3 linked regions of the Macaca fascicularis genome follow. The protein of the gene in region 2 interacts with the protein of the main gene of each other region in a pairwise test. Links are inferred from orthologs where the notes say so. Each region holds a gene or a part of one and is shown on either strand. Other genes may lie near its edges.

Region 1 (10,041 bases), on a different chromosome or scaffold from region 2:
CTCGTTTGGCCAGTGGCTACCCTACTGGACTGCACATAGAACATTTCCATTATTGCAAAAAAGTTATTAGACAGCCCAACTCTAGAGCCTAGCTGCTCAGGAGTCCTGGCAAGCCTTCAGAAACTAATTATTCCACCCAAAAGTCAGTGCTAACTTGTTCCTAGGGCAAGTGGATTATAACTACTGAAACAGTATAACTTTTAAAGAGTGGAGGTTCAGATGGAAGAATAAAAGGAAACAAAGGACATGGTTACTAAAAGTAACGAAAGAGGAAATCTATTAGAAAGAGGTTGAAAGGAACTGGGAAACTTAAGTGAGACCCGTGGTCAATAGGAGTTAAAATATTTCTGTCCATTCATACGCACATGTACGTTTATCTAAATGTTTAACAATTTATAAAGCTGAAAACTCATTTAGTTCCTCTCCTCCCCTACACACCAAATACATTGTGAAATAAGGAACAAGGACATAATCGAAGATATGCCTAACATGGGGTAGACTTTACTTTTGTAACACTTTAGGACATCACTGCTTATAATTGAAAATATTTAAATGTGAATAATTCCTGAGGGGTTTGTGATAACTGTAAAACCAAACCAAAACAAAACAAAACAGACCTTCTGTAAGCCCCCCAAAATTAAAACCAATCATGTATGAAGGAAATAAGGGAAGATCTACAATTGCCTTTCATGGATGGGAATATGGCTACATATTTCCACCTAAAGTATCTTCTGTCACAGGATATACCTACCAGAACAATTTCTTATTATCTCTCAAGTGAATTAAAGACATAGCCTCCTAGAGAAAACAAAAAACTACTCTGCAACCAGGATTTGGTATGTTTTATTAGAGCAAATTTTTAACAAAAGGTGGCTTTTATTTACAGAATTTAATATGTGTGGGGAATGTCCAACCCATGTGGACTCAAGTAAAGATAACCATTAAGCTGGCTAATGTATTTTCTTATTTTCAGTTTACATACAAATTTTTTTTTGTTCGCTTCACATTCATAAAAACCCCAATATTGTAAATGACAAATAACCCCTCCCATCCCTTAATTAAATATACAAACAGCTTGAAAACATACAATTTAAATTGGTTTAATCTTGAAGTGTAATCCAATAAGACTGAAAACTAAACATTTCAAGTCTTGTACCAAATAGTAAAATACTCGAAGACCTTCAGGATCCCTAAAATTTAAAAAGGTAAAAGTTACTTTTTCTTCCTAGGATAAAACAATTCTTTAAATTCCTAAAACAAAACAAAATTAAAATCTTTTAACAATTAAGTTAACAATATTTAGGAGAAGGGAAGGATTTTGCCAACAACTACAGCATAAAATGAATATCTTTTCTATAAAAAAAAAAGTTTCTTCATCAGTATTCATTTTAGTATTTAAAGATTCATCTCCTTATGAATGTCATAACCGCATCATAAAAATGTCTAATAAAGCAGAAAAAATAATACCGTAATGCCACCATTTCATAGAATAACTGTGAACATTTTGATGTTTCTCTATTTTATAATAACTAAAATCATTCCCTGTGCCCCTTTTTACATTGCTTTCCCCACAGCATTAAAAAAAAAAATTCCCCAGTAATTTTTAATTAATTTAATAATTCTCTCCCTGTTAGACAACGGGGTTAATTTCCTATTATTAATAATACTTCAATGAGCATCTTCATGCATAATAAAGATTTTCCAATATTTAGGAGTAGTTCCATAGAAGAGATGCTCAGAAATGAAATTACTAGGCCAAAGGTGAATGAAAAATGTCAACGGTTTTTGATGCATATTACCAAACTGCTTTCCAAAAACCACTACCAATTTATAATCCCAGTAGGGTATCAATGCCACATCCTCACCAAATGTAGGAAAAGAAATTTCATAGTTTACAAGCATCCAGTTGGTCTCTGTGAACACAGACTTTTGTGTCCAATAGTCATTATGCATTCATTCCTTTCTCCTTTCCTCTAATAAATATTGAAAGCATCTATTATGTGCAGGGCACTATGCTAACTTTGTGGATACAGCAAGGTTCTCATGGAGCTTACTTAAAGCAGACAAATAGGTTATTACAATTTAGAGTGACAGAAAAAGGGAAGAGCACTATGGGACACTTTGAGGGGAATGGGCACAAATAAGTGGCTTGGATCACACCAAGAAAATGGGATGTACTACAAAACCCTGGGGCGGAGGAGAGATCGATCTTGGGAAGACATTGGTAGTAAAGGATACTTAGGCTAGACTGGATTTTTTCCATCTTTTTCCCAAGTATTGAGCCCAAGGAGGAAAGTGAGATGACATGGACCTAATGAGGCTGATATAATCCAATAAGGACTTCTTTTCTTCGGATTTTCTGATACTATATCCACATTTTTATACAAAATAGCTAATACAATTTGGGCATTATTATATACAGCTGTTGGATTAAAATTTTTTGGACAATCGATGAAATACTCTGCTAACTTCTACTAAGAGACAAGATAGTAAGCCTTTAATGACATACAAATCAATTACATCTGCATAATAAACTGATAGGAGGCCACTGAAATTATCTTGGCTAACAAACTGACTATACTATAGTTCTAAAATGAGCCTCTCTAATAATGACAACTTGGCCAAAATGCTTTAACATACTTACTTTGACTGATTTACGTCAATAAGAGAACCTATTTTTGATGTGGTAAATGATATGTGCTCATCTCCAATTACAATTTCAAGCTCCTAAAAAAAAAATAGCAGAAAAATGTAGTTAATATATAAATCTATCCCAGAGATATCTGTATTCTTGCTACAAACGGATCCCAATTTTAGTTGCAAGTTTTCTAGCAGTCAACGGGGCGTGGGGTGGTGAGGGGAAAGAAACTTGGTGTATTAGATATAAACTATATCCTTAAAATAAAAACTGCTCACGAGTACTACCCCCAAGTTTAGGACCAACAAAGAATTGCTTTCCAGAGACATAAAGAAGACACTATGAAACAAAATGACAAAGAAATATTTCTTACAATGTCAGTAAAAACTGAAGACGTCACTTTGAAGCACATGTTAGAAAAATGATAGGAGTATAAGACCATTTTTAATATGACAAATACATATTTTTTCTTTCTGGAAGATTCTACAAATAAAATGTATAATATTAATAACCACCACCACCAGTTTAGCACCTACTGTATGTCAGGCTCTAGTGCTAGGGACTTTATACTCTGTAATCTTGAAAATACCCTTATTAACCTATTTTACAAATGTGTAATTCAAAACTCACAAAGCAGAGGAAAACACTTGTTGATATTTATAACCACTAATGAGGATGGTACTTATATTTGATCCCAAGACTGTAAGACTTCAAAACTAATACTCCACAAAATAACTAAAATTAAGAACTAGTTTAAAAAAAAAAAAAACCATACTGTAGATGTTCCTAGTGTGCTGTCATTACTGTATAGATTTTTCCCTATATTGTTTCTCTGCAGGCCTAAAACCAATAATTAAGAAGCTGTATCTGTAATGAATTTTCAAGTTAACAGACACTGTTGAAGACAATCCTAGCTATTTAACCGGAGGCCTAATTATGCAGTTTATGACACACACCAAATGGAGAATTAGCTAAGATGCTCTAACAGCCATAAAACCTTTGACCTGATACAAAAGGCAATTTCTGAAGCATGCCTACTCCTCCCCACTAACCAAAACCCATGAACACATCCTTAAGCAAGTAGATAAAATACTAGGCTCTCCCTGAGTCTAAATGATATAAAAGGTTAGCTGCTGTGGTTTGCTTTTTAGTACATCTGTATATCTGCATAAAACAAACTGAGGCCTAAATTTGCTTTTTAAAAGTGATACCATGATTAAAGTAAATACTGTTAACTATTACCTTTGCTCTTCTAAACAATGTTTCTTTAAACAGAAGAGTTAAGTTACTCCTACAGAGTGTCAGCATGTGTTAGATCTCTCCACATTTTCTTCTACTCAAAGAAGGTGATATAAAGTACAATCCTCAGGGATACACAAAAGTGAAATTAAATGTTTCTTCCTTCCAGGGGTTGTATCTCATTTCTCCAAGAGCTGAAAAGACCCAATTCAGAAACCAAAATTTCTTTTTACAGAGTGAAATTAGGCCTTCAGAGTTCTTCAGAAGCCTTTTGAGAAACATCAAGTATTCTGAAGGAATATGAGAGGCAAATGCAATCATAAGTTTTAACAAAGAAACCACCAATCAAGTCTCTCTCTGGGGTATAGGGATGCAAATAAGAATTTTAAAAGTTATGATTTGGCAAAAGTAAATTTTACATAGTCATATTCTTAATAAAAGTGATTAACACACAACAGAAATTATTCATAACACTGCACTGTGAAAGCATCCTAATGTTGGCTAGGGTGACTACAGAGAAAGATATCTAAATTTAGAGCTATGCACTGACTCCTTCACTACTAGGAGGTAGCACAGAAAAACGGAACTAAAAGACAAAATTAAAGAGAATTTACCAGGTGTCTATTAAATGGAAAGCCAAAGAATCAACTTAGACTCATTCAAAATAAATAAGGGGAATCATAATAGTATTATCAATTTTTAATATTTATGCACTTAAAGAATCACTAAATACAAACCTGTCGGCCAACCCTATCAGGGGGAGGCCACAAAGCATCATCTTCTTTTGTAATTTCACTGTCATCAATAATTCTCTTCAGTTCTTCCATTACACTCTTGTGCACATAAGCCTAAAAATTAATCATAATAAAATTGGATAATGTCCACCTATGTCACCCCTCAACTCAGAAAGAAATAAGAGTTACAAACTCTGAATATTCAAATAGAGGAATATAGAAAAATTTAATTGATTCCAAAAGTAGAGAATGAGAGAGAATAATTTATCCTTGTTATATTACTTTTCTTCATCTCTTGCCCTTTCCTCTCACATTTATTTTTCCCTCTTCTCATCATTACCCATCTTTGAAACACTGTATTCTGCCTTTGTAACATTAAGATCCAAATACCCCCAAGTGGTTAGATCACAAGATCTATAAGGTGAACAGTAATAAATGCAAGTACACTGAAGCAGGAGAATCGCTTGAGCCTGGGAGGCAGAGGATGCAGTGAGCTGAGATCACGCCACTGCACTGCAGCTTGGGCAACAGAGCGAGACTCTGTCTCAAAAAATAAAAATAAAAATAAAAATAAAAATAAATAAATAAATGCAAGTGTAGTTCACAACAAGGTTAGTTCTCTGAACCTTCTCATTCCTATGGATGCAACCATTGTATCTAATTTAAATGGCAACTCTTTCAATCTGTAAATTGCCTTCTTCTTTACAATATAGCCTTAGATGTACTTTTGTAAATTCAACATAGACTTGAAGAAAATGGGCTAAATGCAAAAAAAAAAAAAAAAGACATTCGAATAGAACTTACCTCTTTTCTGATCATGACATCATTTTTGTAATTGCTGTTGTTGGCATATCTAAGCTTTCCTGTGGGAAATGGAAAAAAATCAATTTACAATAGCAAAAACTGCTAAAAAAAATTAATGACATCATATACAATTTTAAAGGTAAAGACCATTTTATACTACTTTTATTATTTCCTCCCTCCTTGTGTAAAATCATTGTTAGACATGTAGACAATAAATATTTGCTGGTTAAGTTTGCTGAAGTTGAAGATAGCCAAATATTTAAATAGTCTATGCCTACAACATATAGATATAGGGTCATTTTTACAGCCTATTTTCTTAAGCTACATCATGAACTAGAAAGAGAATCTGCAAAAGGCACTAACATTCAAGTTTGTTATATGTATGTATTGGTGTTAAGTGCGTTACACAGAGAATTTAATCTAATCTGTAAAACAATCCTAAAAATCAGGTTTTATTCTCTCACCTATTCATAAGAGAGAAAACAAAGTTAAGTAACTTAAACATGGGAGATTCAGACCTAGATCTACTTTCTTTTAATACTCAGGCTTTCTCCACTACAAAAAAATGTTCCTTTTTTTCCTTCAAATGTATGCATACAATTATACTGTAGACATTTTAGAATTATGACTAAGAAGGATACAAACGATGCTTCTGGATCGAAGTTGATGAGTTTGTTAGCTAGTTTATATTTAATTTTAATCCATCATGATTTGTGTATTATCTGATGTATGCTTCCCCTTATGGCTAGTCAGTTGCCCAGACACAGCTATAAGGTGCAGCAGTTACTCTAAAATGATAGAAATGCCAGTCTTTGATGGCTTGGCGCCAGGCGTAGTGGCTCACGCCTGTAATCCCAGCACTTCGGGAGGCCGAGACAGGTGGACTACCTGAGGTTAGCAGTTCGAGACCAGTCTGGCCAACATGGAGAAACCCCATCTCTACTAAAAATATGAAAAAGTAGCCGGGCATGGTGGCACATGCCTCCAATCCCAGCTACTCGGGAGGCTGAGGCAGGAGAACCGCTTCAATCCAGGAGGCAGAGGTTGCAGTGAGCTGAGATGCACTGCAGCCTGGGTGACAGAGCAACACTCTGTCTCAAAAAAAAGAAAGAAAGAAAAAAAGAAAAGAAAAAGAAAAAGAAAGAAAGAAAGAAAGAAAGAAAGAAAGAAAGAAAGAAAGAAAGAAAGAAAGAAAGAAAGAAAGAAAGAAAGAAAGAAAGAAAGAAAGAAAGAGAGAGAGAGAGAGAGAGAGGAAGGAAGGAAGGAAGGAAGGAAGGAAGGAAGGAAGGAAGGAAGGAAGGAAGGAAGGAAGGAAGGAAGGAAGGAAGGAAGGAAGGAAGGAAGGAAGGAAGGAAGGCAGGCAGGCAGGCAGGCAGGCAGGCAGGCAGGCAGGCAGGTCTTCGGGAGACTCAATATTACCAATAGAAGAAGTATGTGTAACAGTGCAGTGGCAGATACATTGATTAGAACCACTGTTCTAGCATAAAACTTCCCTGATAATATTCAGGTGCTTAATTTATGTGACCTGCTAAAAGTAATAGAGACAAGCTTGACGGTGTTCACAGGCAGAGGAACTGAAAATAATACTACATAAAGAATAGATGAATTCAGGTAAATTTAGCTGAATTTATGGGGAGAGTAAGGTCGAATACAGTGATTAAGGTTTCTAAATAATTGCAGGGCTGGCACGGTGGCTCATGCGTGTAATCCCAGGACTTCGGGCGGCTGAGGCTGGTGAATCTCTTGACCTTAGGGGTTTGAGGACAGCCTGGGCAACATGCGGAAACCCATCTCTACAACAACAACAACAACAACAACAAAGGAGATGGGCGAGGTGGCACTGGCCTGTATTTCCAGCACCTCGGGAGGCTGAGGTGAGGGATCACTTGAGCTTGGGAGGCGGAGGTTGCAGTGAGCTGAGATCGTGCCACTGCACTCAGATCTGAGTGACAGAGTGAGACTCTGTTTCAAAGTAATAATTGCAGGACTGTAGTTCACCTGAGTTCTGCCTGAAATGCTTGATACTCTTCTCCTTTCCTAATATACGTTTCTCCTCTAATTTTTTATTCTTGCTCTCACAGAACATTGTCCAAAGCCTGCTTATTAATATACCTACTGCTTTATAGTTAAATGTCTGTGTCCCCACCAAGACAAATCTCTTTGAGTTAAATTTGTCTTACTCATTAGTGTACCTTCAAATTTTGTATTTGCTTGTTGCCCAGCAAAAAACGTGCATTTAAAAAAAACCAAAACATATATATCCAAATGAACTTTCTTGTTGCAGGTAGGCAGGACCAATGTAACATTCTCTAATAGCGCTGTCAGAAAACAAATTGTTGCACGCTACTGGGGTAGCAGTTTCACCTCGTCCTCTGCTCTCACTGCTCTGGAAGTCTGTTTTTTTCTCTCAAAGGCCAAGTCTCTCATTTCGAGACTCATCTCAAGAGTGTCTTCCTCTAGGAAGATTTTCCTGACTCCCTCCTGTGGAACTTTACATCTCCCCTCTTTTTTGGTACTCTTCATGCGTCCTGTGGTGAACAATTATACGTAGACACCTAAAACATATTATTATTCTCATTTGTTAACACGTCGGGCTCCTCCCCTTCAAAGAACACACACAGCCTGAATGAAGAAAAGGTACTGGTCACCACAAGATTTTATTCATCCATTGGACCACCCGCTGATGGGGGTGTTTTCAAAAAAGTGCTAGCATTTTTAATCCAGGTCAACAATCTACAGAGTCCCTTCTGGTGCAGTTACAGAATTCTGATTACTGTAAGTTCGACTTTTCAGTTTGCGACAGGATTAGCTTTAATTTATTGCAATTAGTTCTCTTTCATTTATAAAACCAACTTAGGCCTCCTCTATTCTTAAGCTCCTATTTCCTTCGAGGGAAGCAGTGGCCTCCGCCCCCTGTACCCTCCACACCACCCGGCCTCCCCTCGCCTCCTCCACGGCCTCTCGGTCTCGCTCCCCTTTCCCAGCACCGCGTGCCGTGGGCCTCTTCTCACCGTCCGGCCGAAATTCGAACTCCAGAAACTCGTGCCCAAACTTGCCCTTGTGCCCTACGTAGTAGCGCAGGTAGAAATCGCTAGCCATAGCCATTTTTGTCCCCGGGAAGCCCGCCGAAAACCCAGCCAACGTGTCCCCCGGCGCCTTGTAGTCACGTCATCGCGCGGAATAAGTGCGTCACCACAGGCGCTTCTCTTCCGCCTGCCTTGCAGCCCTGGACTAAAGCGTGAAAGCCGAGTCTCGCGTGAGAGGCCAGTTGGTGCTGAAGGGAGAGTCGCATGCCGTGACTTTCTCTTTACTAGGATTGGAGGCACATTATTTTCAAAATAAAGATCACATTATATTAGCAAATATTAGAAATGTGAGCATATGATAGTATTTTTTATCGACTTAGAGCTAAATTAGGTTTGCAAGTGGCTTTTACTTTTCTGGTCTCCCAGTCCTCGGGGCGTTTGTGAGGTGGGTGTGGCTCTATTCCCCCTTTAACTGGGAGCTAAATAAAGATAAAGCTTAGAATAGAGATGGCAGACCGGGAATATAAACCATTTTTCTTACTTGATTTCGAACAGGGTGCTTTCCCCTTTGAATAACGATTGGTAGTTGCCCCGGACCTATAAGCCTATAATAATAGAGACAAAGTCAAAGGAATCCATCACAGCAAAGAACTTAAGAGATCTCATTTGATCTCTCAAGAATTCTGTGAGCTTGGCAATGTAGATTGCTGTATATGCCTTAGGCTGAAGAACAAACAGGCTTAGAGATAGTCACTAGCCCGAGGTTAGGTAGCTGTAAGTGTTGGGATTGAATCCCAGGTCTTCTCACCACCACTTTCTACTAAAAATCACTGACGGTAATTTCAGTGGGACAAAACTGGCTTAAAGTCTTAAAACACACACCCCCTACGCCTGAAAAACCCTGACTGTCACCGTGCTGTTTTTTAACAGCAGAACTTCTATGGTTCTTAATTCATTCAGTAAGGGTTAACTTTTAGTAGCCTGTGGAGTTTTGGCAATTTGACTTAAGATACAACAATGGTTTAGCCCATTACTGTTTCTCGCCAGATATAATTAAATTGGAGGAATGAAAGAATGCTCCATTGTGGCATAGTTTTTAAGGTAAGGGAAAGACTTTTACACAAAGTCTGCTTTTTAAATATTATTGATCACCCTTTTGTTATCAACACACAGAGTAATCCTCTCTGCTGGTTGACAACCTTCAGTGATTTTTGTAGAAAGTGGTGGTGAGAAGACCTGGGATTCAATCCCAACACTTACAGCTACCTAACCTCGGGCAAGTGACTCTCTAAGCCTGTTTATTCATCAGCCTAAGGCATATACAGCAATCTACATTGCCAAGCTCACAGAATTCTTGAGAGATCAAATGAGATATGTAAAATAAGCTTTAAATTTTATAAAACGTTAGTTTTAACAAACATTTCCTATGTGACAGTTTGAAACTAGAAATAAAAAGGCATTTGCACTGGTAGTCTAGAAAAGAAAGCAAACTTGTAAGGCAAATATTGGCACAATGGATCAATTGCTATAATTAAGAATATATGTGCCATTCTGGCCAACATGGTGAAACCCCGTCTCTACTATAAATACCAAAAACTTA
Region 2 (10,914 bases):
GAGCGAGACTCTGTCTCAAAATAAATAAATAAATAAATAAATAAATAAATACTCATTGATTTTCCTCCATTTCCACGGACAGAGTTGTTTTCCTCATTCCTCAATTCTAGGATTTGACAATGAGATATTAGCAGAGATGACAGAAAAAAAAGTTTGAAAAGAACTTATATGTTTGAGCACCAGGTAAATACACTTTGATTGTTATATGACACTGAGATTTTGTGATTGTTAGTCACATAGTTATTGTATTCATAATTAACTAATATACAGTTCTATTTCAGTGATATTAAATGTGACTAGAAAGATCTTAGGAACATATTCACAGAGCTAGAAGACGCAGGCAGAATCCAAATTGAATGTCATTTACATATTAATAAGAAATATGATTCTTCTTGGTAACAATACTATGATAATTCAAAGTAGTGTCAGACTGTAAATACATTAGTTTACTCCAATCAAATGGAGAAGCAGTCTATTAAAAAGTTATATAATTATATTTACATAAATCAAGCCATAAAATTGAAAGAGGATATAAAAGAATTAGTTAGAGCTTAGCTTAACCTCAAAAGAGACAGGTTGCAAAAAAAAAAATGGTGCAAAGCACCACTTACAGTACTCTGATCCGGAATCCCTTATTAACATAGCAAATATATTAAACAAAATTAACAAACAAAAAGATTCAACTTGAAAGTTTAGGTCTTACGAACACTGAATATGAATGTTTATAATCCAGATTAACCACAGCAGTCACAATTTCAGATAGAAAAGTAGACCTAGCCAGCTGAGGACACCCAAGTTGCTTATTATGATATAATTTGTGTTTCAGTAGTTGTGTTTGAGATGACGAGAGGAAAAGAATTAAATATAGAAATAATAAACAAATCAGTATTAGTATTTTGTGTTAGATTTAGAAATTATGTGTACAAATCATTGTAAGATGAACTATATTGCATATCTAACATTTGAGTGCATTTTAAGTTTTGGGTGATAAATTAGAATATTTAAAAGATATTGAATATTGACTTAGACCTGTGAATTTATATTGAAAATTATAATAAAATTGTACTAAGTTTGTAACTTCATTGGAATGTTTAAGATAAGAATCACCATATTTATAATTTTAATTTTTTAGATTTTCTTGAGTAGGACGTGGGAATGTCTTGTCGGTAACTGAAAAACTTGAAAAGCAAATGGCATATGTTAAATTAATAAAATAATTTTATAAAAGATTTTAATTAACTGTATTTGTGTAATGAAGCATATATTTATGTTTCTCCTTAAAATTAATTTTGAGAATTATTTTATTTATAATAGAATAATGGAAACATACTTGAAAATTACCTAGAGTTAAAATCATACATGTTGTGAAATCAAATGTCTGCTTTTGATGTTATACTTTAATGAATCAAATGATAATTTAGAAACTCAAAATAAATTCAAAAATTTTCGAAGAAAGTAATATTTACCTCAAGTGTACAACATAAAGAAAATATCTGATATGTATTTGTTTCCTAAAGGAAAATTATGCATTTTTATTATGAAAAAGGTTACAATTTGGTTAGGGGAGTGAGAAAAAAAGGAATTCATAAAAAATTATTTAATGACAATGGGATACTTAAATTGTTTTAGTATTTAGATAGCCCCATCATAAACTTTTGTGTCTCTGTGCCAGCATTAAGGACATTGCGTGTCTAAATTTATGCAGCAGAGGGCACTCTATAAGTCCTTAATTTTCTAGCCTAATCATTTTATTCTGTGTTTCAGAGAGATTTTCAAAGTTGATGAATAATATAGTTAAATTTATAATTGAGCTGTATATTATTGTCAGAGCATTTGAGCTACAAGAAGGCAAACACTTAATATTTAAAATGTTGCATATTTTATGTACACATTCTTCATGAGAATGAAATTAAAAAGGCAAAGCTTAGCAAAAATGTAGTATCTTTAATATGATGATATAAACTTTAAAAAAATCATATTGCTAAAATATATAAAGTTTGTAGAATCTAAATATAAAATATGAACCAAAATTATTTTTATGAAAAGTTGTGATTATATTTCCATGCATTTTTTGATGCTTTGTTTACTGTCACAATTCCACAATAATTGGAAATAAAATTTAAATTTCTAGACAATAATATTACTCAAATATTTCTCAGGGATGAAAAGTCCTAAAAATTAATATCTAGGTATAAATATTAATCATTGTTGAACTGTGGGAAGTTTCACTGGAAAAAATTGAATCATTATTTTCTGAAAGGGTGTATTAATATAAAAATGTTCTTACCAAATCAAATGATTATCTTGTAATAACACGCAGATATTCATTTTTATAACAGTTCAAAATTTAGAGATAGTATTAAACTGTTAACAAGTTTTTACAAATATACTTTAAACAACATATATGTCATTTTGCAATTGCACTTCCTACTATTCATAATTACATCTTTCAGCACTGAGTGTTAGCACTCGGCTGTTGCAAACAGCCAAGCCATATACAATTAATTTAATTAGAAAAGATAAGTATTTAAAGAATATTGTTAAGCTCCGATCTCCAGGAGAATCATAGAACAAGGTTTGCAGATGAAGCAGACAGGGACGAAGACCCACTCTCATGCCACAAAACTGGTCCCATGAAGACCCCACTGCCTGTAACCTCCTCTGTCTGTTGCCTGTACACTGTCCTGGTATTATGGTCTGGCAAGCAAACATATTCAAATTAGCTAATTTGAGTGGAAAAGGATATTGTAGCTCAAAAAATTTCTGGGGAATACATGCAGCCAGGAACACTGATGAGAAAGCCATCGAAATCTTCCTGTAAGCACACTATTTCGGCCACCATTAAGGTACAGACATCACAGTGGGACCTCAAGATCACCAATATGGGACAGTGAGTGGTGTCACTAGGCACCAGAGGCCACCGCTGCCTCTGGAAACGAGTTTCTTTACTGCTGCTGCTTCCCCCTCAGGCATGGATTCTAGATGCTGTCTACTGCCTTGGGGTACTGGCTTGGCTTAAAACTCTAGGCGGCCACCTCTGATACACTGTTCCTAAGTCAAGTGTCTGTACCCTCATTACAAAGGAAACCGTGGTAGAGACTTACTGGTATTTTTATAATCTATGCACAGGTGTAGACTCTGTTTCATTTGGTAGCAAATTGCCGAAACACAAAATAGACACTGGAGAGTCAAAAGATGGTAAAGATTTATTGAATATTCCATGAGTGACAATAAAGAAACAAAATAAGCTTGACTTTCTAATACTTACAAATTTTACAATAAACAGTATTAACTAGATTTGCATGTCAATGTATTCATTAATTGAGGAATATATATATATGCTTTATATATATATATGTAAAGTAGAAATCTGTCTGTTTCATACACAGACCAAAAATAATAACCTTTGAAGCATTTTTAATTTGCTGAAACTTCTCACCTAGATTTTAAATCTCATTATGAAAAAAAGTTGAACATTTAATGAAGCAAAACAAAATAATTGAAGCATACTACTTTTCTTATATATAAAATAAATTAAGAAGATAAAATGGGCTGGGCACAGTGGCTCACACCTGTAAACCCAGCGCTTTGGGAAGCCAAGGAGGGTAGATCACTTGAGGCCAGGGGTTCCAGACCAGCCTGGGCAATATGGCAAAACCCTGTCTCTACTAAAAATACAAAAAAAAAAAAAAAAATTAGCCAGGCGTGGTGGCACAGGCTGTAATTCCAGCTACTTGGGAGGCTGAGGTGGGAGGATGGCTTGAGCCCAGGAGGCTGAGGTTGCAGTGAACCGAGATTGCACCACTGCACTCTAGCCTGGGCAACAGAGCGAGACTGTCTCAAAAAGAAAAGAAAAAAAAAAAAAAGATGAAATGGAAAAGGAGGACTGAAGCTCAGCTTAAAGGACACAGAACAAACATTTTATAAGTGATAAAGGAGGTCTCTGCAGTGAAATTTCAAAACTGATTCTGAATGTTAGAACAGTTCAAAATATTTTATCTCAGTCTCTGTTACTTGAGATTCGGTATTGCCAACCTCAGCTTCCTAAATTTTTAGGTACACATAGCTCTCTAAGAGGATCAGCTTTCCTGGCCTTCCTCTAAATTTTCTACCTGGGAAGTCTTTATGAAAGTCATCAGAAATATATAAATTCTCAGTATATGAGAAACTTTTAATGCTGGAGAATTATTCATAAAACTGAACAGTACTCAGAGCGCAAATAAAACAATAAAGTTTCTTCTATTTGATGAAGAGGTTCTAGTCAAGGACAATGGAAAAAATGAGTCCCTGAGTTTTCTGAGCTGATTTCTGTGCACTAGTTAAGAAGAGAATTTTCCCACTAGATGGGAATGCAGAAAAAAATACATTCACATCTCAATTCAAGCCACCCACTCACTGATATTCCAGGAAGAAGAATTTAAAAGATTAGATGGATTTATAAGTAATAGCATATCCTATATTCTTGGAAAATGTTCTCTTGCGATAGCAAAAAAGACTGTGATTGCCTCATGCGGATTGCATGCAAATGTTGATTCATGGACACAGGAACCATGACTCATCAAGTCCGTGGGATTGTTTCTTAAAAGAGGAGAGTAGGAAGACAAGGCCATGGAAAGCCTCCTTTTTTCTCTTATTCTTTGACCTGTCTATGGATTATAGACTGAAGTCACTGAGAACTGGAGAATGTACTTACTCTGAGAATTGTTCATGTATTCCAAGAAAGTAAAAAGTACATGTTGTGTATATGTACATGGATAAGCGTGTTAAGACAGAACATGCATGTTTTTAAAACTGACACTTTAGAATAGGAAAGTTTACATCTAGAAAAACACAGCTCTGCACTTCTCCCATTAGACTGCATCAGGGAAGTAATATCGTACGAGTGCTGGAGAGAAGTCTATAATTACCAAAAGTTAAATCCTTCAAGAAGTAAAAGCACAGAAATTAGAATGTGACTGAAATGTATAGGTCTAGATAAAATTGTCAGTATATGTACCAGCCTAAAAATTAAATTCAATTTTATTCTTTTTTCTACTGATGTTGGTTGCCTGTACTAGGAATTTACACTTGATAGGGTAATAAGTATTTATTCTGTACATAAATGCTTGCATGATCACAATCTATTAATCTAGTGAAATACAGATGAAGAGTCTGAAAAAGGGAATCGGTGGCACTAGTAAATTTCAGAGGAACTAATGAGAAACTTCTGGCAGAAAATAAGTGGTAAAGAACTTACTGTATCTGTGAATGGCTAGTATGCATATTTATCCTGATTTCAGTCCATTCAAACCAGGAAAATTAAAACTGTTATATAACATATGCTTATGTAATACATTGTGTGTATATATGCATACATATCCTTCTCGCTTTTCTGGTTCTGCCCATTAAGGCTTTTATAACTAAGAGATAAAAGTAATTATTTTTAGATTTTGGAACCACATTTATATATTAGATATTCCACATTGTGCTAATAAAATTGTAAACTGATTGCAAAGAAACAAAAATCCATATTGAATATTTCATATTACTATCCTCTTTCCCAGATGTTATTTGTTCTTGATCTTTATGAGAATTCACTGAGAAAGGCTATGACAGACTGTATTTTGCAAAGACCGTTGCCACAATGACTGCATCCCACACGCCCTTATTATACAATTGTTTTGACACTCCTTCCGTTGAAAGTGCTTCTCTCTCTTTGATCTGAGTCAGCCTTTGAGATTCCCACCACCGATAATGGGTCTGAAGTGATGCTACGTGACTTTTGAGGCAGAGTCATTCAAATGGCGTTCTTCTCTCTGTGTTCTTAAGATGTTCACTTGCAGCCTAGCCCCAGTGTTGTGAGGAAGCCAAGCACCCCTTTAAATAGCCCCAGTGCAGGTGTCCCAACTGAGGCCTAGATGAGAACTGAGGCCAGACGTATGAGTGAGAGAGGCTGCAGCCCCCAGCCTTCCAGGCATGGCCAGCCTTTGAGCCATTGCAACTGAAGGCACAAGTGAGAGATTCGATGTCCACGCCAAGGCATGCTCAAGATTCTTGAACAGAAGACATGGTGGTTGCTGTTGATACGTTTTAATGATAATTGTTTGGAAAAGTTTGTTTCAAGACAATAGATAACTGGAACATAACAGCACTACAGCTATTTTCACAAAGGGGCAACAGCCGACATCACATAGTTGGAATACATCAGAACAAAGATCTGATGTACATCAGATCTGAAATACATGAAGATCCAGGCCAATTAATCACAAGCCTGATGCCCTTAGTGGTCCATGTATCAGACAACTTTTTCTGTAATCAATATCTCACAAAATTGTGATTTTTCTGCTATTAGTATTAACATATTTATCCATTTTTTATTTACCAAGTCCAAGATGCTGTAACAATTAAATAACACACTGGATATTTTAACCTTGTACATTAAGAATTCAGATACAATTAAAGTGAATCTACCAGAGATGATAAAAACATAGTCATGATAAAAGTCAACTTAAAAGAATGAAAAACACTAACAAGTTATATACTACTTTTTAAAATTCAAAATATGAATATCTGTCAAACTAATTTCTTTAAATCCTAAAACTTAATGACTAAACATGGATAAAATACATTATCAAATGACCAATCTATCAGTATTAACAATTTTAAGTGGTTTGAAAGTTAGACTTGGTTAAGGGAGACAATAATTAGCACTTACTCTCTTTCCTTCCATAAGATTTTTTGGAATTCATCCAAATGCACCTGCAAAGCTGAAATTTCAGTTACTTCATTTTCCAAAGGCAGATTTATTGCTTTCAGTCTCAGCCCAGCTTTCATTTCACCATTTCCAGAACCACCATTGTTGAATAAGTCAACACCATCTAGATTGGGTTTCATTTCCTCACTTAATTTTAGAGAATCAATAACCACACCTTCTTCCTGAAAAAAAAAAAAATTTAAACCTCTTGGAGAAAAATCATGATGATAATACATTTTCATAAAGAAATACATGTTATGATACAACAACAAATTGATATTTTAATTTCATTATCATTCCCTAAAAGCGTTGTGTGGCCACACTTACTTGCATTCTTCTTCAAACTTATTTTTTTCTATGTTCTACCTCTTTACAAAAAAAATACATTTCTCAAAAGTTCTGCTTTAACTCTGTTTGTTCTCTTTTTCTAATCACGCTAAAAATAATCATGCACAAACTTGAACAGCTGTAAATAATTTTTAATGAGTTGATGAATTCCTCTTTCAAGTTTCTTTTGTCATAAGACACTTACAGTTTCAAAGTAATTATTTTTTAACATTTTTGAAAGACAAGATAGAATTTTCAGGAAGCTCTTGAATATTTTAAAAAGCTTGCTTATCGCTTTATTTTAGTTCCCCTTTTTTTAATTCATGAGCCACATCTCAAATAGAATTTAATGGGGCACTTTAATAAACATGGGCATCAATACTAGAGCAACAACTGCATCAACACTCTTAGAGCGTAACTCAAAAACCTCACAGGGCTCATGCAGTTGGTATTTGCCTACAATTTAAATTTGCCCTGGTTTATAAGTTTAAAATGAAAGACAATTTCAAATAAAATCTCAATGAATAGTCAAGTTCAAGTAAAATCTCGATGATACTTCACTTTTATTTTATTTTTTAAGTAGTATGTGAATGCCAGGTTACCCAGTATGAATCATTCCTTAATTCTCTCAAGAATGATCATTGCAATCATCTATACTATAATATTTTGACAAACAATAAAATAAGATGTGTTGTTTGAGGATACATATACATATCTTTCTTGTTGGGTATAGAGTTGGCAAAGATACTGGTCAAAATTTTAAGGAAAAAACTGATTGAAGCTTCTTCAACAGGTAATATTTATTTTCCTACCATCAGAAGGAATATCTGGAAGGATATTTTGCAAATAAATACATTTTTAATAAATAAGTATTATGTTTGATTTGTTCTTGACATTAATGTTAAGGAGATATTTCAGAAGAAATCCCAAAATATTGAGAATTTTCCATCATAATACATGTGAAGAGAATCCTTCATTTTCTCAAATGCAGAGGCTAGTAACTTGTAATAATAAAAACGTTTTGTGGATTTAGAGAACTTGATGTGAGCTATGTTCCCTTATCCTCATCATTGCATTCTTCTAACGCATACATTAATACAGTTGAGTTTTGAGAATATATGTGATTTTCCAAAAGATACACACAAAGCCCAGATTATCAGCTTTGAACATTTTTAAAAGAAAACGTAGAAGACCAAATAAGCAGAAGTAATCATTGTATTGCAATCTTCTTAATTTTTTTATTTATAGTTAAATCTAGGTTTTACCTACCATAAATTATATACATTATAGAATGGCTTAAAATACTAAATGCAATGGTAGAGGTGCAGGATATTAACTAATGCGTGTTAGAGAAGGAATTAAGTAGAAAGAGGTAACAAAATAAACTGAAACTATAATAAGAGGTAACAGGAGTTCCCAAAGTATGTTCTTTGGGTTGTTAATATTATTTACCAAGTTAAAATAAAAGAAAAAGAAAAAACAGGGTGGTGGTTCATGGATGAATAAGTGTATAAACTGAGAGACTTTTTAAAGTTCCATGTGCTTTGTACAGAATTCTCAGAAACTGAGATTCTAAGTATAGCAAGAAATTCCATCAGTGGTCCATATAAAGCATTTCCTAAGGTACCCTATTTGCCTGCAGTACCCATTTTATGAGTAGTTAATCGTGAGGCTTCAGTCCCAAACATTGAGAACTATTCAAACTACGTATGGATTGTTTACAATTTAGACATAATTAAGGCAAATGGAAAGAAATGTCTCCAAATATTTTCTTTTCAAATGAAAAATGCTGAGTTAATTTTTTCTATAAAGATTAGTAAAACCACTAGGATGGGCTGAACTTGTGTTTCCTCAAAATTTATTTGTTAAAGTCCTAATCCCCAGTACCATAGAATGTGACTGTTGGTGGAGACAGGGCCTTTAAGGAGGTGATTTAGTTAAATTAGGCTCATTAGGTGACCTTTCAAGAAGAACTTAAGACACAGACATGTGTACAAAGAAAAGACCATATGAAGACACAGGGAGAAAATGGCTTTCTATAAGCCAAGGAGAGAGGCCTCAGAAGAAACCAACCCTGCTAGCACCTTGATCTTGTACTTCTAGCTTCTATAATTATAAGAAAATGAATTTCTGTTGCTTAAACCACTGTGATTATGGTACGTTTTTACGATAGCGCTGGCAGACTAGTATAGTCACCACTGGATTTGTCACTTCCTTCTTCCTCCCCATCACTATCTATGACCTTCAGATATTCACATAGTCTCTGGATTTTTTTCTTACCTTATTATTTGTGTCCTCCTTTGTAGAAAATTGTCTTTTTACCAAACACTCTCTGATGGACTCACACATTTGTGAACTCACTTGAAATTGGTCTCTATGTTCACAGGCTTCTTCTGTGAAACCAGGAAGCTTCAGATCCTGGGTGTCTTTAGCTTCTAATGCCTCCTTCTGAGGTGGCAAACTCGGTTTCTTTTTCAGTGTACTCAATTCTTTCATCGCCATCTCTAGTTTTATTCTGAGTTGTCTTCCTTCCTCCCTGGCACTGTTCCTTTCAGCTCGAACTTTACTCCATTTTTCTCTCCAGTTGGCAGTGCAATCTGACCACCACCGCATGGTCTTTTCCATCTGAGCAGCTCTGGCCTTGACTTCTTCAAGCTCCCGCAGGCGAAGTTCTTCACAAATATCCCATTTGTTGGTGTTACATGAGTGTGCACAGAAATTGTGAGCAGCATGAGATTGTAGCCCATGAAGTGGGAAGCAGGTATCCCTGGGGGGTGAGGCAGGTGTCACCATGTCACCACGTGACTTAATTGATGATTGCTGCATCTGGAAGATCTGTGTTTCTTCAATTAATCGATGAATGGAATCTAAATTCATATTCATCTTTGAGACCTGAGAAAAGATAAAGGACATAATTTCATGCTGAAATTTCCCTTGTAAATACAGGAATAAGACCTACATTTTTGTTGTTTTTGAAATTTGATGAAAACAATGCCACTTTTTTTTTTTTTTTTTTTTTTTTTGGAGACAGAGTCTTGATCATGCAGTAGCATGATCTCGGCTCACTACAACCTCTGCCTCCAGGGTTCAAGCAATTCCCTTGCCTCAGCCTCCTGAGTAGCTGGGACTACAGGCACGCACCACCAGGCCCAGCTAATTTTTGTTGTATTTTAGTAGAGATGGGGTTTCACCATGTTGGTCAGGATGTTCTTGATCTCCTGACCTCGTGATCCACCCACCTCAGCCTCCTGAAGTGCTAGGATTACAGGTGTGAGCCACCACGCCCGGCTGCACTTTTTCAATATTGCATATTTTTCCAATGTAACTAAAAATATAGAGGAATTTAAACACTTGTAACTGTCCACTAAGAAATAGAATATTCTCATATTCAATTTTGCCAAAAAAATACAAATAAAAATATAAAGATGCAATTGAAGATAGCATATGACATAAATAATTCATTTTGACAAATCCAGTCCTATTTAGGTCATATCTATTGCAACATTGTCCACTACAAAATACAAATTGTAATATTTATTGTCCACTAACTACTTAATGGTTTTCTTTATCCCTGCTAAGCCTCAATTTGTTCAGGCAGAATGCACAACCTATTGATGTATAGGCAAATAAGCCTCTATTTCAATGCCAGAGGTTAAATCATAGCCTACATTTTCCATGATGCCCTTCATCTGTTGACTATTGACTAGTCTCAAGGCAGCCATATGGCCTGACTCTGGCTGCTGGGATGTGAGATGAAGTGTGCTGAGATTTCCCATCCAGAAAAATATGAGAACATCACAATGAGGAACTCTATTTCCTCTTCCTTCCTTGTGTTTGAATAAGGACATAGTTCT
Region 3 (10,914 bases), on a different chromosome or scaffold from region 2:
GCCGAGACGGGCGGATCACGAGGTCAGGAGATCGAGACCATCCTGGCTAACACGGTGAAACCCCGTCTCTACTAAAAATACAAAAAACTTACCCGGGCGAGGTGGCAGGCGCCTGTAGTCCCAGCTACTCGGGAGGCTGAGGCAGGAGAATGGCGTGAACCCGGGAGGCGGAGCTTGCAGTGAGCTGAGATCCGGCCACTGCACTCCAGCCTGGGTGACAGAGCGAGACTCCGTCTCAAAAACAAACAAACAAACAAAAAAAAAAACAAAAAACTTTGCTTTGTCGACACCAGCCTGGCCAATATGGTGAAATCCCATTTCTACTAAAAATACAAAAAATAGCCGGGCGTGGTGGTGGGCGCCTGTAGTCCCAGCTACTCGGAAGGCTGAGGCAGGAGAATCGCTTGAACCCAAGAGGCGGAGGGTGCAGTGAGCCAAGATCGCACCACTGCACTCCAGCCTGGCGACAGAGCGAGACTCCGTCTTAAAGAAAAAAAAAAAAAAAAAAAAAAAACTTCGCTTTGCTTTCCCGCCTTCCAAGAGGAAGGGGCGCATCTCCGAGGAAACAAGGCCGGGGAACCCGCGGCTCGCACGGCATCCTCTCATCCACACAACCCGAGGACAGCTCCCAGGGGACGGCGGACCACGGTCAAGGTCCTCTTTTCGGCCCTTCACAACTCCAAGCTCCGCCCTACAAAACCCCCTGCAGTCCTACCAAGTCACTCCCATGGCGTCGGGCCAGGAAGGCGGCCGGATCACACGGTAGAAACGCAGGGTTCCCTATCCGCCCACAGAAACTGCTTCAGTTCCCCAACACAACCTTCGGTCTCGGAAGAGACTCCGGAAATACGTAAAAACAGAGCGCCGGGTCCACGCCTTCCCCAAGGAGTGGGGCGGGTCTCAGGGCCCCTCGGTGACACCTCTAGTGACATCATCTGCGGATTCCCGCCCACAGGTTTCTAAATCCAGACATTCTCGTTTGGCTGAGCACTCTAGGCCTAGACCCATGAAGCTAAGAGCGACACTCAAAGACTGCACTGTTGAGAGAAGCTAACGTTAAAGGCTGTAAATATATTGGGGAGTCCAGCACCGGAACCCGGGAGCTCTTTTAGTGGGAGGGGCGGCGCTGATGGCGCTTCTGGCCTCCGAATGCTAGGGGGCGCTGTGATCGCCGCGTGGCCTCTTGAGAGCCGGGAGTCCACCGCGCAAGCGCAATCTGGCTTTTTCGCCGTCTCCACGTGCGAACCTCCGCGGCAACGTTTTCGAGAAAAATGCCCAAATTGAAGGCGGCCCGTGGGGTCGGGGGTCAGGAAAAACATGCGCCCCTGGCCGATCAGATCCTGGCTGGGAATGCGGTGCGGGCAGGGGTCCGGGAGAAGCGGCGGGGTCGCAGGACCGGAGAAACGGAGGAAGAGTATGTGGGACCCCGGCTGAGCCGGCGGATTTTGCAGCAAGCACGGCAGCAACAGGAGGAGCTCGAGGCCGAGCATGGGACTGGGGACAAGCCCGCGGCGTCGCGGGAACGCACCACGCGGCTGGGTGAGTGTCTGGGATGAGATCCGAGGAAGACAGTGGCCAGTAGTGGGGCGGGGTGGACAGCTAAAAAGTGTCTGGCAGGGGAATTGCTTCGAGTCAACAAAGGGTCCGTATTACACTTGCAAAAGTAATGGAATGGGAGACTGAACCCTGTTCAGAGCCCTCCGCGTCCACTCCTAGTTTTAGGCACTCCCTTCTACACATCCCCTAAGTTAGGCCAACAGTAATCGCTCGCTCCACCCTAGCATTTATCCATTGGTTTTGTAAATATATATGGGATACCCACTACGAGCTTTGTACTATGCTCGGAGTTCTATCGAATGTTTGGGTACAGAAGTAAACAACATAGGCACGTCTGACTTAAGGACCTTACAGTCAAGCCCAGTAGAGAGTCAATTAAGTAGACTCTTAGAATAATATTTTTCTATGATAAAGTGTCGCTTCCCTGGTAACAATAGCATTGGTCTTGAGAAGCTTCTCCGATTGCAGCAGGACCTTTTAAGTTGAGAACTGAAAAACGAATGGGAAGTGTTATGAGCAGAAAACACATTGTTTAGCAGCCAAAGAGGGAGAGAGATGAAAGACGTTTGATATTTTCTCGCTAGGGAGGGAGTGTTGACCTCTGAGATGCTTCATCCGTTTTCCAGATCTCATCTAAAGCAATATTTGACGCAATTGAATAGTGGCCTCCTGGCCACAGTATCCTTACTTGGGTTTTAAGACATCAACACTCCTGTTTTACTGCCACCTCACTTCTCAGTATCCTTGACTGACTCTTATTGCAACCTCTTATCCTCAGTCCTCTGACCTCTTCAAATATTCTCTGGTGCTGGCAAGTTTCGTGGTTTAAATACCATCTCTTGGGTGACTACTCCTAACTTTATAGTCTAGCCCTGACCTCTTCCATGAAATCCATATTCTTATATTCAACTGCCTATTTGGCAACTCCAATTTAAAATCTGACAGCTCAAATTTAACATGTACAAAACAGAAATCTTGACCTCTCCAAACCTGCTTCTCTCACCATTGTCTTCCCCGTCAGTAGCGTATTCTTTCATTTGCTCAAGACAAACTTTAGACTCCTGTATTTCTCTCTCCCCCTCTCTCCCTCTCTCCCCCGCCCCATCTCCTCTCTGTCTCTCCCTCCCCACATCTGATCTGTAAGAAAATTCTGATGACTCTGCCTTCAAAGTATATTCAAAATCAGACCACTTTTCACCGCTTTGGAACACCATCCTGTTGAAGCCACCACAATCTCTCACCTGGATTATCACAGTAGCCTCCTCGTTAGTATCTCATATTCTCCTTTTTTTCTTTTTCTTTTTTTTTTTTTTTTTTTGAGATAGAGTCTCTCACTCTGTCACCCAGGCTAGAGTGCAGTGGCACAATCATAGCTCACTACAGCCTCAATCTCCTGGGCTCCAGCTATCTTTCCCACCTCAGCCTCCCACATAGCTGGGACCACAGGTGTGTGCCAGCATGTCCAACTAATTCTTTTTTTTGTTGTTGTTGTTCTTTTTTGAGACGGCCCAGGCTGTAGTGCAGTGGCACGATCTCAACTCACTGCAACCTCTGCCACCTAGGACCAAGCAGTTCTTCTGCCTCAGCCTCCTTAGTAGCGAAGATTACAGGCATGAGCCATCACATCCAGCTGATTTTTGTATTTTCAGTAGAGATGGGGTTTCACCATATTGGCCAGGCTGGTCTTGAACTCTTGACCTCAAGTGATCCGCCCACCTCAGCCTCCCAAAATGCTGGGGTTACAGATGTGAGCCACCTCACCCAGCCACTAATTCTTTAATTATTTGTAGAGATGAGGTCTCACAGTGGTGCCCAGGTTGGTTTCAAACTCCTGGGCTCAAGTGATCCTCTCTTCCTTGGCCTCCCAAAGTGCTGAGATTACAGGTGTGAGCTACTGCACCCTGCCATATCTCATACTCTCTACAAAGCACTCCACAGGTAGGGGATTACAATGGTCTACAATGCACTTTATGATCTGCCTCCTTTACCAGTCTGACTTCTACTGCTTTCCTCTGCGCATTCCACTCCACCTATACAGGCTTCATTGTGCCTTAAACATGGGAAATTAGAGCGTTTGGCCTGGTTGTTCCTTCTCTCTGGGATAGTTTGTTCTCATACACTTGTAGGGTTACTTTCTCAGAGAGGCCTATCTACTCCATTTACGATTGCAGCACTCTACTCCATCTCCATACTCCCAATATTTCTGCCCTATCTTTTTTCATAGTACTTTTTTTTATTTTTTTTTTTTGAGACAGAGTCTCGCTCCATTGCCTAGGCTGGAGTGCAATGCTGTGATCTCGACTCACTGCAACCTCCACCTCCTGGGTTCAAGTGATTCTCCTGCCTCAGCCTCGTAAGTAGGTGGGATTACAGGCGCCTGCCACCACGCCCAGCTAATATTTTTTTTTTGTATTTTTAGTAGAGATGGGGGTTTTGCCATGTTGGCCAACCTGGCCTCGAACTCCTGACCTCAGGTGATCCACCCGCCCCGGCCTCCCAAAGTACTGGGATTACAGGCATGAGCCACCACACCTGGCCCATAGTACTTATATTTTAACCCAGTATATTTGTATGTTTATTTATGTCTGTCTTTTCCAATTAGACAGGATCTGGTGCGTTCAGAGTGGTATGGTCATAGACTGTCTCATCCAATTAGAATGTAAGCTGTATAGAACAAAGTCTTTTGATTTCTCTTGTTCATGGATATATTGCCAGCACCCCCAACAGTGCCTCACATATAGTGTAGGTGCTCAGTGTTTGCTGAATGACTGGGTTAATGGGTAATGAATGATGGTCAGGTAGGTAGGAGCAAACTTGCAAAAGATTTAAAAACCATCCTTACAGCAATAGGAAGAATGGAAAGCTACTGGAGAATTTTAAGTATAGGGCTAATCAAATCAAATATGTGTTTCTGGAAAATTACCGTCTGCAGAGTGGAAAATGAGTTGGAGGGAAGCAAGGTCAGAAACATGGAGATGAGTGGGTGACTGTTGAATAAATCCAGGCAAGAAATGATGCTGATCTAGGCTTAGATGGGGCTGTGAAGCATGTGGGAGACAGTCTATGAGGTAAAATTGAATAGGATTTAGTAATTGATTGGGTGTTGAGGGTGAGGGCAAGGGATGAGGCAGGAGCGCCTCCCAGGCTTAGCACTGGGTGGACAGTGGTACCATTTACTGAGCTGTGGATGGTTAGCATTATAGACCTAGGAGGGAAAGAAAATTAATATAGTTGATGACAGGTGAGATTTGAGGTGACTGTGAGTCATCCAAGAGCGGCTGTACAAGAGACACCTGGAGTTAGGGTCTGGCGCTAAGGAGAACCACCTACAAAGTACACATTTGGGAGATTGTTGGCATGTGGAGACAAAATGTCTGTTCCCCCTTAGCGTTTATCACATACTGCCACTGCCTTTGTTGTTAATGACCTATTGATACATAGCATTATAGTTCCCCACTTGGATTATTAGCCCCCCTTTCCAGATGCCCAGACATGTAGCCTTCCAAAAATGGAAGTTATTTAAATGGACTACTTCATTTATTTTATTTATTTATTTATTTATTTATTTATTTATTTATTTGAGACGGAGTCTCGCTCTGTCGCCCAGGCTGGAGTGCAGTGGCGCAGTCTTGGCTCACTGCAAGCTCCGCCTCCCGGATTCACGCCGTTCTCCTGCCTTAGCCTCCCGAGTAGCTGGGACTACAGGCGCCTGCCACCATGCCCGGCTAATTTTTTATATTTTCAGTAGAGACTGGGTTTCACTGTGTTAGCCAGGATGGTCTCGATCTCCTGACCTCATGATCCACTCGACTCAGCCTCCCAAAGTGCTGGGATTACAGGCGTGAGCCACCACACCCGGCCCTTTTTTTTTTTTTTTTTGAGATGGAGTCTTGCTCTTTGGCCAGGCTGGAGTGCAGTGGCGCGATCTTGGCTCACTGCAACCTCCAACTCCCTGGTTCAAGCGATTCTCCTGCCTCAGCCTCCCTCCCAAGTAGCTGGGATTACAGGCGCACGCCACCACGCCCAGCTAATTTTTTGTATTTTTAGTAGAGACAGGGCTTCTCCTTGTTGGTCAGGCTGGTCTCGAACTCCCGATCTCAGATGATCCACCCACTTCGGTCTTCCAAAGTGCTGGGATTACAGGCATGAACCACCATGCCCAGCCAACTTCATTTATTTAAATAGACTGGTGGATTGAAATCTGAACTCCACTGCCTGACTTTAAAGGCCCTCCAGTCTGGCTTCACCTTTCCCACCTACCTAGCATTATTTATTGCTATTGCCTAGGAGACACTTAAATCTGAAGCCTTATTTTCTCCGCGTCTGGAACACACTCCGCCTGCTCCCAAACTGCCCATCCAGCGTCTAACTGTCCTCGCCACTCATCCTCTAAGTGCATATGTCGTCTCTACCACTCATTGTGGCATATAATCAAACCCTAATATGTGTAGAATAGTGGTGAAGAATGCAGTCTAGACCCAGACTACCTGTCTTGGGCAAATTATCAACTTTTTGGTGCTTCAGTGTCCTCATCTGAAACTGGGTATAATAATAGTATCCGCGGCCGGGCGCGGTGGCTCAAGCCTGTAATCCCAGCACTTTGGGAGGCCGAGACGGGCGGATCACGAGGTCAGGAGATCGAGACCATCCTGGCTAACACGGTGAAACCCCGTCTCTACTAAAAAAAAATACAAAAAACTAGCCGGGTGAGGTGGCGGGCGCCTGTAGTCCCAGCTACTCGGGAGGCTGAGGCAGGAGAATGGCGTAAACCCGGGAGGTGGAGCTTGCAGTGAGCTGAGATCCGGCCACTGCACTCCAGCCTGGGCGACAGAGCAGACTCCGTCTCAAAAAAAAAAATAATAATAATAATAGTATCCGCTTCTTGGGTTTATTTTTATTTATTTATTTATTTATTTATTTTTTAAGTTTTTGCCAATGTTCCGTAAGAAGGTTTATTTATTTTTTTTTAATTTTATGTTTTTTTTTTTTGCCAGCATCTCACTGTCGCCAGGCTGGAGTGCAGTGGCGTGACCTTGGCTCACTGCAACCTCCACCTCTTGGGTTCAAGCAGTTCTCCTGCCTCAACCTCCCAAGTAGCTGGGACTACAGGCACGCACCACCACACCCAGCTAATTTTTGTATTTTTAGTACAGACAGGGTTTCACCATGTTGACCAGGATGGTCTCAATCTCTTGACCTCATGATCCGCCCACCTCAGCCTCCCAAAGTGCTGGGATTACAGACGTGAGCCACCACGCCCGGCCACTTCTTGGGTTTGTAAGGATTAAACAGTTAACATGGGTACAGTGTTTAGAAGTTCCTTCTACAGGCACGGCGCGGTGGCTCACGCCTGTAATCCCAGCACTTTGGGAGGCCGAGGTGAGCGGGTCACTAGGGGTCAGGAGATCAAGACCAGCCTGGCCAATGTGGCGAAACCCCGACTCTACTAAAAATACAAAAAATTAACTGGGTGTGGTGGTGGGTGCCTGTAGTCTCAGCTACTTGGGAGGCTCAGGCAGGAGAATGGCATGAACCCAGGAGGCGGAGCTTGCAGTGAGCCGAGATTGCGCCACTGCACTCCAGCCTGGGCGACAGAGTGAGACTCTATCTCAAAAAAAAAAAAAAGAAGTTCCTTCTACATAACTGAGTATGGTATGTTAACTATTACTTATGGCCATTTCTTTCTCATTGTTTCCTGTGTATACGTTTTGTTTCTCAAGCGTGATTGCAAGCCCCTGGGGACCGGGAGCTAATGCATGCCTCATTTGTTTCACTGCACATACCTGTGTCTATCACAACCACATGTGAGGCCTGTACTACATAATGACTAAAGTTAAACTGACTAAATCCCTCAGCTACCTTTTGCTGTGCTCATCCATTTAGTCTCCTCTCTTCTAGGTCCAAGAATGCCTCAGGATGGATCAGATGACGAGGATGAGGAGTGGCCCACCCTGGAGAAGGCTGCCACAATGACAGGGGTGGGCCACCATGCAGAGGTGGTCGTGGACCCTGAGGATGAGCGTGCCATAGAGATGTTCATGAACAAGAACCCTCCTGCCAGGTAGGTCTGGGGATTTGGGATAATGGGTGCTTGTAGAAAGTTCCCACAGGAAAACAAGTTCCCTGGCAGACTTACGATTCCCTACTTTAGGAAAGGGCCCTGGAGTTGCTAGTTGTAGGGGACCACCTTGACAAAACTGGCCCATCCTCAGCAGACCACTGTGAGTGGGAATGACCCAGCCTCAGAAAACATTGTATCCTTCTGTCCATTTATTGTACAACTGCCCAGTTGCCAGGGAAACAGCTCCAGGCCCGTTTTACACCTCTGGGGAGAGCCATCCTATTGCATCTGGTTTTGGTATTCTTGGTTTTTTTAGTGGTAAGCTCAACTTCCTTGGACAAGTGTTCATATCCTAAGCTTCATTTAAGCCAGGGTTTTTCAACCTCAGCATTATTGACATTTTGGGCTGGGTAATTTTATATGTGTGTGGAGGCTATCCTGTGCAGTGTAGGATGTTTAGTAGATATCTCTGATCTCTACCTTCTAGGCTCCAGTAGCAACCTTCCCTCTAATTATGAAAACCAAAAATGACATCAGACGTTGCTAAATGTCCTCTGGGAGGCAAAACTGCTCCCAGTTAGGACCACTAATTTATTCCCATCTATAATAAATGCTGGCTCCAAAACATGCAGGCATTTAGACTGCCTGTGGTCAAACTCCTGAGCCCATAAATTTTGGCCGTGGGGAGTGGAGTCTAGGATAAGGGTCCTCAACCAGTTCATTCTGACCCTGTGATACTAACATAATGGTGTCCCTGATACTTTAGATTGTTTGGGGTTAATGCATCTCTCATTGCTAATTGTACTGTAAAAGCACAAGGAGGCTGATAAATTCTGTGGCAACTTATTTGAAAATGCAGAATGAAGAAATAAAAATGAGCTCCTCTCCCAGATTGATGCCTAACAGTTGAAATATGTGTCACAAAATACGTACTCGGGCCTGTCCCACCAGAGAGCCTCTCAGGTTCTCATTCAGCACCTCATAACTCCTACTTCACTGATAACGCTGACAAATTTAGCAGAATGCTTTTCCAGCTTGCAGTAAATAGAATAGACAAGCTCCTTGAAGTAATCAGAACTTCTGGCAGTTGTAAGAAATGATAGCTGGCGTCTTCAGAAAGCAAGCCTAGATCCACATGAATTCAACAGAGGCCATTTAGTTTGGGGGCACATTATAAGGTACTATAAAGCATCTTAACTTAAGACTTTCAAAAACCTGAGTTTGACTCTTAACCCCACCTGACGGCTGTGAGGCCCAGTTGCCATGTCTGCGTAAGTTTCCATGTCCTATAAGTGTTGCACTGACTCTGGGACTGAAAAGTCCCAGACTCAGTGCCTGGCGTTGAGTAGGACCTCAGAAAAGAGGAGCAGTTTGTTTTTTGTTTTGTTTTGTGACAGGGTCTCACTCTGTAACCCACACTGGAGGGCAGTGGTGTGATCTCAGCTCACTGCAACCTCAACCTCTCGAGTAGCTGGGATTACAGGCGCACACCACCACGCCTGGCTACTTTTTGTTTTATTAGTAGAGACGGGGTTTCACCATGTTGGCCAGGCTGGTCTCAAACTCCTGACCTCACGTGATTCACCTCCCTCAGCCTCACAAAGTACAGAGATTACAAACACGAGCCACTGCACCCAACTGAGGAGCTTTAAATACATGTCAGTCTGGGCATGGTGGCCCAGACCTGTAATCTCAGCACTTTGGGATCCCAAGGCAGGAGCCCAGGAGTGTGAGACCAGCCTGGGCAACATGGGGAGACCCCATCTCTACAAAAGAATAAAATACGGCCGGGCGCGGTGGCTCAAGCCTGTAATCCCAGCACTTTGGGAGGCCGAGACGGGCGGATCACGAGGTCAGGAGTTCGAGACCATCCTGGCTAACCCGGTGAAACCCCGTCTCTACTAAAAAATACAAAAAAAAAAAACTAGCCGGGCGAGGTGGCGGGCGCCTGTAGTCCCGGCTACTCTGGAGGCTGAGGCAGGAGAATGGCATAAAAACCCGGGAGGCAGAGCTTGCAGTGAGCTGAGATCCGGCCACTGCACTCCAGCCTGGGCGACACAGCGAGACTCCGTCTCAAAAAAAAAAAAAAAAAAGAATAAAATACTAGCTGGGCCTTGTGCTATGTGCCTGTGGTCCCAGCTACTTGAGAGACTGAGGCAGGAAGATCGCTTGAGCCAGAGAGATAGAGGCTGCAGTGAGCCGTGATGGTACCACTGCATGCCAACCTGGGCAACAGAGCTAGACTCTGTCTCAAAAATAAATAAATAAATACACTTCAGCAGCCTCTGAAGGCACTGGTATTATATGACAGCTCAAGGTGATAGTAATGCTGAATCATTAAGATAATGTTTGATATACCCAACAATACTGTGTTTAAGGAGGCTGAAAAGAACATAATCAGTTTTAGAAATACTTCCATAGATACACTGCTGTGTACTGACCGTTGCAAGTAATGAACAGACATTAACTTATTTAATCCTTCCATTAATCTTTTAAGGTAGGTACCGTTATTATCCCTATTTTACAAATGAGGAAACAGAGGCATAGAGAGGTAAAGTAACATGCCCAAGATCATACAGGGAGTGGGTAAGCCAGGATTTGAACCTGCGCAGACCGATTTCAGAATTGAGATTCATAATAACCTCCATACAACTGCCAGCTTTGTCCTAAATGGAATGACTTTCAGTTCCTTTGCACCCTGCAGTGATTCTGTCTGTGGTGGATGAATGGGCACAGAGAGGGAACTCTGAGCTGCGCATCCCAGCAGGATCGCAGTATGTCAGTGCTCACAAGGGACTGTGGGGAATCTGGAGCTTCCTGGACAGTGACCACAGTGCTCCTTCCTTCCTCTCTCCCCTCCCCTTGGCACTTCCCCTCTTAGGCGCACCTTGGCTGACATCATCATGGAGAAGCTGACTGAGAAGCAGACAGAGGTTGAGACAGTCATGTCAGAGGTGTCGGGCTTCCCTATGCCCCAGCTGGACCCCCGGGTCCTAGAAGTCTACAGGGGGGTCCGGGAGGTAAGAGCTGAGAGGGGAGCCACAGTGGAAGACCCCTTTGGGGGCTGTGGGCTCCCGCCACAGGCTTTTGCCTTTTGCCTGCATCTCATACTAAAGAAGTCATGGCAGTAGAAAACAGACCTAAGAGGCAGAGTGTGTGGTTTCAGATTCCTGCTCTGCCTGTAAATGACTTGGCAACCTTGGGTCAGTTACTGGAACTCTCACTGGTCATCTGTAAAACGAGCATAATAATGGCACCTCCTTAAAGGGTTATTGTGGGGATGAAATGAGTTAATA

Evidence for each region.
Region 1: the proteins of CCDC102B (region 2) and MAGOHB interact in binary tests that used the Homo sapiens proteins (3 or more experiments, as listed by UniProt). The two-hybrid records come from large-scale screens. The link is inferred for Macaca fascicularis from reciprocal best matches to the Homo sapiens genes CCDC102B and MAGOHB.
Region 3: the proteins of CCDC102B (region 2) and BYSL interact in binary tests that used the Homo sapiens proteins (3 or more experiments, as listed by UniProt). The two-hybrid records come from large-scale screens. The link is inferred for Macaca fascicularis from reciprocal best matches to the Homo sapiens genes CCDC102B and BYSL.

The regions. Positions count from the first base shown.
Region 1 is NC_088385.1:10,340,285-10,350,325, reverse strand, and holds MAGOHB (protein mago nashi homolog 2), read right to left. Parts: upstream 8,583-10,041; 5' UTR 8,521-8,582; coding exon 8,427-8,520; intron 5,475-8,426; coding exon 5,416-5,474; intron 4,726-5,415; coding exon 4,615-4,725; intron 2,728-4,614; coding exon 2,645-2,727; intron 1,191-2,644; coding exon 1,091-1,190; 3' UTR 828-1,090; downstream 1-827. UniProt on the Homo sapiens protein: Required for pre-mRNA splicing as component of the spliceosome. Plays a redundant role with MAGOH in the exon junction complex and in the nonsense-mediated decay (NMD) pathway.
Region 2 is NC_088392.1:11,815,819-11,826,732, forward strand, and holds part of CCDC102B (coiled-coil domain-containing protein 102B), read right to left. Parts: intron 9,953-10,914; 5' UTR 9,944-9,952; coding exon 9,341-9,943; intron 6,916-9,340; coding exon 6,695-6,915; intron 1-6,694. UniProt on the Homo sapiens protein: During interphase, forms fibers at the proximal ends of centrioles to maintain centrosome cohesion. During mitosis, dissociates from the centrosome following phosphorylation to allow centrosome separation. Contributes to CROCC/rootletin filament formation.
Region 3 is NC_088378.1:129,639,182-129,650,095, reverse strand, and holds the start of BYSL (bystin), read left to right. Parts: upstream 1-1,207; 5' UTR 1,208-1,271; coding exon 1,272-1,539; intron 1,540-7,455; coding exon 7,456-7,618; intron 7,619-10,499; coding exon 10,500-10,638; intron 10,639-10,914. Other genes in the region: MED20 (mediator of RNA polymerase II transcription subunit 20), read right to left, coding at 716-729. UniProt on the Homo sapiens protein: Required for processing of 20S pre-rRNA precursor and biogenesis of 40S ribosomal subunits. May be required for trophinin-dependent regulation of cell adhesion during implantation of human embryos.